Cricetulus griseus: one gene and its partner. The protein of the gene in region 1 interacts with the protein of each later gene in a pairwise test. Links are inferred from orthologs where the notes say so. Each region holds a gene or a part of one and is shown on either strand. Other genes may lie near its edges.

Evidence for each region. The genes of interacting proteins can lie anywhere in the genome.
Region 2: the proteins of Ube2k (region 1) and tripartite motif-containing protein 30A interact in binary tests that used the Homo sapiens proteins (3 or more experiments, as listed by UniProt). The link is inferred for Cricetulus griseus from reciprocal best matches to the Homo sapiens genes UBE2K and TRIM5.

The regions. Positions count from the first base shown.
Region 1 is NW_023276807.1:132,582,154-132,586,123, forward strand, and holds the start of Ube2k (ubiquitin-conjugating enzyme E2 K), read left to right. Parts: upstream 1-1,170; 5' UTR 1,171-1,372; coding exon 1,373-1,435; intron 1,436-3,970. UniProt on the Homo sapiens protein: Accepts ubiquitin from the E1 complex and catalyzes its covalent attachment to other proteins. In vitro, in the presence or in the absence of BRCA1-BARD1 E3 ubiquitin-protein ligase complex, catalyzes the synthesis of 'Lys-48'-linked polyubiquitin chains.
Region 2 is NC_048596.1:95,219,799-95,223,298, reverse strand, and holds part of tripartite motif-containing protein 30A, read right to left. Parts: intron 2,086-3,500; coding exon 2,063-2,085; intron 1,041-2,062; coding exon 940-1,040; intron 712-939; coding exon 685-711; intron 461-684; coding exon 1-460.

The DNA of each region.
Region 1 (3,970 bases):
CCCTTCCGCTTCAGACTCCTGAAATCTGGGATTACAAGTGTGGACCACCACACGAAGCTCCTATTAGTCTTAGAATATTCAAGTGATTGATTAAGTGACGAAATACACGAAACATACTCCTAAAATAAAACTTCCACTATTTCAAAGTACCTCTCAGTACCCAAACTATAGTATTTGCTTTAAACTCTACTGACCACTTTCAAATCGCCTTCCAACATTATTGTTGACCTAAAACATTTTACTCCTTTATCATCTTCTCCATTCAATTATACTCACGGCTTATTTAAATCTACCAGTGCCAAACACCTATGTAGGTCTAGAGCTCCTTCATCCTCCTAAGGAGTGTCTATTTCTCCAACTTTCACTATAATCATAACAGATTTTCATATGCTTAATTCAGCCGTTCTCACAGCGTAGTCGCTGAAAAATAGGCAGCCAGGTATCTTGCTAAGAATGCAAATTCTTAGGCCCATCCACACTGTAGGGATAGGGCCTAGCAATCTTAAGCTCTCCAGGGATTTTGAAGCACCTCAAGTTTTAAAACAATGTTAGTTCTACAGCTCAACATTCATTATCTAAACAGGCCAAAGATTAACTTCTGGCTTTTAAACCAACCACAGGCCTCTCCCTGGCAATACCTGTAGCAAGCACAACCCGTGGGATCCAACCATTACACAACTTCAATGTGTAATACCTGAGATGACCGAATAATAGCTGCGTTATCATGGTTCCAGAACAAAAGCTACGGCAGTGGATTTCCCGGGGGGGTTTACCAACGGACGCTGGGCAGGACCGAGTTCCTGCATAGCTTTTTCCTCGGTTGGACACAGGGAGGCACCTCAAGCCCGTGGGCTCTGGGTCTGGCAGAGTTAGAGCGGGGCTCAGGCCGGGTGGGGCCTGGGGAACCCGCCAGGTGGGGCTCCCACCTCGGCTCCGAGCCTCCCGGGATAAGGGGCGGAGGGCCAGGGGAGGACCGGCCAGGCCCAGACCCCGCTGACCGGCGCGGAAGCCGCACCCTCCTCGCCCCAGACGCCGGCAGGGCGGAGCCACGCGGCCGAAGCCCCGGCTGAGACGCGCGGCACGGCGCGGCGCGGGCTCGCTGCTGAGACGTATGGGGCTGCCACAGGAGCGGCTGCGCCGCCCGCCCGGGTCAGCGTGGTGCGCATGCGCGGACCCGGCGCCATTTTGGTGGCCGGGCGCGGAGGTGATTCTACACTGAGGGGGAACGCGGCGGCAAGGGTGGCAGTGGCAGCGTTCGTGTGCTCGGGTCCGAATCACTGAGGGAGGAGGCGGTGGAGGAAGAGGTGGCGGCGGTGGCGGTGGTCGTAGCGGTGGCGGAGGAGGCGGGTACGAATCAGCTGCGGGCAGAGACATGGCCAACATCGCGGTGCAGCGAATCAAGCGGGAGTTCAAGGAGGTGCTGAAGAGCGAGGAGGTCAGAAATGATCTACCGGACACCCCCATCTCAGCCCGGGGCGGGAGGGCCCTCCCTTCCGCGACCCCGGCGGTCCCGGCTGGCCTCGCTGCGGCCGCCTCTCAGCCGATGGGGAAGCGGCGCTCTCCCCTCCTCCTCCTGCCGCCTTTCCCTCCCCTCCCCGGGCCCTGGGATAGACGGTCTCGCGGGCGGCCGGCCGGCCTGGGGAGGAACGGGGTTTGGGGGACAGATGCAGAAGCACTTGTCGGGGACACGTGAGCTCTGGGGAGAGCCCCGAGGCGGAGGCAACATCTGTCTGTGTGGCTCTGGGGTGGGGAAGGAGCAGGCCGAGAAAACCCGGGAAGTGGGTTGGGGGAAGGGGAAAGATAGTAACTAGATCCCCGGCAGCAGCGCACCTCACAGGCCCACACTTTTCGGGGTACTCTGGGTATTGCTTGCCAGTCCTTTGCTGTCTTTTCTTTGAGGAAGGAGCCTACAGAGTCCTTAGGTATGAACGAAAGGAAGACATTCAGTTACTCCCTTGTAGTAGTGTTGGGGGACACATGGAGACATAATGGTCAGTCTCGTATTTGGAAGGGGTGTTGAAGCAGTTTTCATTACATATAGGAAATGAATTCCAAATTAGATAATCATCTCGTTTCCACGCACTCCACCAGTCACTAGGCCTCATCATTGACATTTAGTTGTTTGTCTGATGAAAGGCAAGAAGTTTGTTATTAAATGATTTGAACTAGGAAAAAAGGATGAGTAGCTTATTTCAAAATACTGTTTACCAATATCAGAGTCTCTCCTAGGGCAATGCCTCTGTGACTAGTGTACTGTGAAACTTCATTATGATGTCCCTTGTAGGTAACTTAAGTCTTACTTTTGAAAAGAGGCATATTAAAAACAAGAGATTTCATCAGATTCGCATTGTTGTAGCTCATTATTGAGTTAGGTTTGTTCTGATACAAAATATGTCACGTAATAGCATACTAAAAAATAAGACTACCCGTGAGTCCTTCAAAATTTAAATACGTTAATGCTGGTCATACTTATGTGAAATATTGAATTTTAACAATCTGACTCAGCTTTGCAAACAATAGTACAATTTTTCAGATCTGAATGAACAAAAATCCCAGATTTTCTGTGATTGAAGTTAGCAAGAAAATTCTGAAAGTAATTATCTTTCTCAAGGTTCACATTCCACTGTCCAATAAGCAGTGCTATATGTTCTTATGTGCTTGGTATTTTGATAATGCCAATAACGATCTTTAAAATTAGATATTTTAAGTATATGAGGAATTGTTACAAATCCTTTAGCACTCCAGCATTATTTGTGCCACTGAGTCTGCAGATAATTATCCATCTTTGGTAGAAATTTACTTAAAATTGAAGTGACTATATTTGCAGGCTTAGTGAACAGACTAAGAAATAAGTAGTGATCTGTCTTACATAGCATGAACTCTGACCTCTGTATTCATTTGCCAAAACTCTGAATGGAAGGATGACTTTGTATTTTTGTGGAACAGTGCAGAAAGTGTGAATGTCTGTATTCACATACATTTTAACAGTGATTTTAACTTTTTCTTTAATAAGCAAATGTACTTTGGGATTGTAGACATATATTCTTAATGAAAGATGAGAACTGATTTTGTTGTCAGCAGCCTAAAACGTTTTTTCTACAATAAGGTTGTACAAGTCTTTAGACTTGTAATGCTTTCTTTTATTTAAAAGTGTCAGGTTACTGGCCTGAAAATCCATATATCCTCTGCTTTATGTGATGTGACTTTCTATTTAAGTGATGGATTGAGGAGATGACTCCTTGGGTAAAGGAGGCTTGCTGCCAACCCTGATGACCTGAGTTCGGTCCGGAGGACCAACAAGGTAGAAGGTTATCCTTTGACCTCTATACCCACACATGCAAATAAAAGTTCATTCTCAAGAATGAGATTAAAAAAATTGTCATTATCTCTTAGGAAAACAGGGATTGCAAACACAAGTTATTCAGGAACAGTGCCTTTATAAACCTTGTAGGAACTTAGGAACCAGGAAAGTAAACTGCAAAGGATACTTGGAAAAGATCAGATAAAATTTAATATTGTAAACTGGTCATGGTAGCACAAGCCATTAATCCCAGCACTGAGAGGTAGAGGCAGGCTGATCTTTGTGAGTTAGAGGCCACCCTGGTCTACAGTGTTCCAGATAGCCATGGTTGTTAGAGAAACCTGTCTCAAAAAAAAAAAAAAAAAAACCAACAAAAAAAACCATTTAGTAATATAAAAAGCACTACAGTTAGTTCTATTCTCAGTATTTTGTTTCATCAATGTTTTAGTATGTTCAGTTCCATAGATAGGCTGTTGGTTAATTTTCACCTTAATGAAGGACCCATAGTGTAATCTATATATTTTATTTAAGTATATAAATGTAATTTTTCCAATAGCTGATCAAGTAATTATTTCAGCATGTCACCTCAGTAAATCTCCAGTGTACCAGGTTTAATTCATATGCTGGTGTTTAAGAATTTTGGTGGATCTAATGACTTATTTTTGACCA
Region 2 (3,500 bases), on another chromosome or scaffold:
GCTGCATAGTCAAGGAAAACGCCAACGCGACAGGGAGGAACCATCAGCGAGAGGGTCAAGACCCTGGGCTTGCCTGTGAAAGTACACTCCTCAAAAGCATTATACACAAACTTGTTCCACAACCCTATGACCCAGAAGCCATATTTAGGTTGATAATGTGAGTCATTGCTGATACCCAAACGAAATAAAGGATTTAGGCATCTTTCAGCATTTGAATGAAATATCGGATTGAAGAGGTAGCTTCCATCACTTAATCCCAGAACCCAGGCACCTTTTCCAGACACATCCATTTCCCAATAATGTTTTCCTGATTGGATAGCAGGGTAGCCCAGGACACCTTCACGACAGTTCTGACCCCCAGATGCAACATTTCTTGTTTGATGGTCTTCATATCTTATTTGTCTCTTGTCCGCAGTAATGACAATGTTTGGATTGTTGTTTTCAATCAATGTCACTTGAACTGCACAAAAATGACAGGAGTGTCATGAGGACAGGAAACAGCCTTATTTGTGATGTTATGAATAAAAGTTGAAGAAGAAAGGAACTCTGTGTAGAAATCACAGCAGAGGTAGATTGCAGAAGCATACTACATATCTTGGGAGAAGCAACATGACACCTAACAGAAACATAAGCTCTGCAAGACAGTGAGAAGGGGGTGGCTTATGTGCTGTATTTTCTCCTTACCCCAGTAACGTTGGGCTTCTATGAGCTCTGAAATGATAAAAATTCACAATATTAAATGCAAGCAAAGCAAAGGTATTCTAAAGTCCATTTCTTCTCAAGATCAGGGGGAAGAGTTGAAAACCATAATAGGGTCAAAGATGGTCATGTCCCATCAGAGATGGTCAAATCATCCATACGTGGTATCTACCCTTCCTTGTTCATATCTAGAAGCTACTAGATTCCCAAAGCTAAGTCATGTAACATAACTCTCCTCACCTTGCAGCACTTGCAGCATGCCTTGCAGATCAGGGGCTCGGAACACTCTTCTTCGTTCCTTGGGGATAGTTTTGGGTCTCTTGAGTGAAAAGGCATGACTCCTAAGGATAAAAACAATTGACCTCCAGTCCCTCTTAAGGACCCCCAACCACCACTGATTTCCTCTCATTTCAAACCACAGACACACTTGAGCTCTCTTGAGGATGCTGAAGAGGGTAGCCTGCCAGCTGGGGATACAACCATGTTCCCTCTAGCTTACTTTCAGTGTGGTATTGGGAAAGCCATATGTTCTCAAAATCATCGTTCTTACCTTCTAAAATTAAGCAATTTATTTTCTCCCACTCTGCTTCCTTGAACTCACAAGAGATGTTAACATAATAAAATCTTAAAGCAAACCAAAACTAAGGTACTTAGGGAAAAAGGTGTGGAAAAATATTTTCATGAATGTGGTTTCTTGGGAAAGGATCAAACAGCAGGCAACAGAACCCATACCCAGGTGCTCAAAGCAAATCAAGTATAGGAAATACATCTGGAAAAGTCCAATGTCTTCAAAACCTGTAGCTAATTATAGAGAATCATTGATAACATCTGATTTTTCAGGCTCTCTTGGAAAAATAGTTGGAAAAGATGAGGACATCAAATTAAAGCAAATATGATCCCAGTGTCTTAGGAAAATCTTTGGTGTGGCCATGTGGGTGTGCTATCCAGACACAAGGATATCCTCTTCCAGCCAGGTGTTGGTGGCTCACGCCTTTTCCAGCACTTGGGAGGCAGAGGCAGGTGATCTCTATGAGTTTGAGACCAGCCTGGTCTATAAGACCTTGTTCGAGGACAGCCTCCAAAGCCACAGAGAAACCCTGTCTCAAAAAAGCAAAAACAAAACAAAACAAACAAAGAGTACCCTAATCTTTTATCCTGAATCCCGCTACTGAGCCAAACAGTTCCCCACAACCCATTTCTAATCTATCCTCAATAGTGGCAAAACACTTGGTCCCTTTTTTTTTTTTAAATCAGAAATTCAATACTACATCTAAATGGCCCCAACCTGGGAGAAATTATGTTCTATTTGAAGACTAAGCCATTCTTACCACACAGAAAGACTGCCACTGGCAGCTATACATACCATGATATGATGCCATCCACACCCTAGATAGGAAGAGAGAAAACAGGAATTAAGACTTCTCATTGAGATGGCGGGTGAGAATCCTTGCAACTGAAACTCTGTGAAAGAAACTAGTCATGGTAACACATGATGAGCCATTTCCTGCAAGTGATAGTCTGTAAATGATCTGATTAAGGCAGCAGAGATCACTGTAGGGAAGCAGGAGCTTCCCCACAAATGGACTACTTCCAGAGCCAAGTCCACTACTGAAGTGCACACAACAAAGCAGTCAAAACATTACTAGGACCAGAAGACATCATGGTAGAGTGCAGGGGAACCACTTGGGAAGGAGTTAGAACCTATCCTTCCACACACACCAGAACACAGGGAACATGGGAGCTGTAAAGATCTATGTAAGACCCTAGCTGCTCTGACACAGCACCAAGAAGAACCTTCTAGAATCAAAGGGATCTGAGAAGCACATCTTTCAACTCAGCACAACTGTGTTAGAAATTCTCTCCAACGGCATTCTTTTTACTTATTTTCTATCATTATTTATTCCATTCTTGCATATGCCAGACTATGACTTGGCTTTTGTCTGTGACTTGGTCAGTTAGGCTTTGAGCTTTGAGATTTTTTTTTTCTCTCCACACAGTCTACTTTTGTTTTTTGTTTTTTTTTCCGAGACAGGGTTTCTCTGTAGGTTTTAGAGACTGTCCTAGAACTCTCTTTGAAGACCAGGCTGGCCTCGAACTCACAGAGTTCCGCCTGCCTCTGTCTCCCAGTGCTGGGATCAAAAGCGTGCGCCACCACCACCTGGCTAATAATGTTCTTTGTAAGACTTTTCAACCACATTTCATGGGCTTCCCTTCTTATTCCTACAGTTTTTTCTTTCTCTGGTTATTATCTCTCCTCTTTTAACTTGTTTCTAAATTTCTTTTATATTTTATTTTATGTGTGTTTTGCCTGCATGAATGTCTGTGCACCACATGTGTGTCTGCTTGATGCCCATGGAGGTCAGAAAGTGTCACATCTCATGGAAATGGGGATGGTAGTGAGTTTCCACATGGATTCTGGGATGGAACCTAGGTTCTTTGCAAGAGCAGCATGTATTCTTATGGCTGAGCCATCTCTCTGGCCCCACATTTTTACTTTTTAATTATAGCCTTTCATAGCTTTAACAATGTCTAAAATCTGTGGACCCTGGCATTATCCCAACATTCCCTCTATAGACAATTTTTCCACTTTGGCATTTAAAAACAAAACAAAACGAAACAAAACAAAACAAACAACTCATACTTGGGCTGGAGAAATGGCTCAATGGTTAAGAATGCTTGTTGCTTGCTATTCTACATGGTGGTTCATAGTCATCTGTAACTCTGGCCTTCGGAGGCACTAGGCACATGCATGGTGCATGTGCATAAAGGCAGGCAAAACACACATGCACATAAAATAAAAA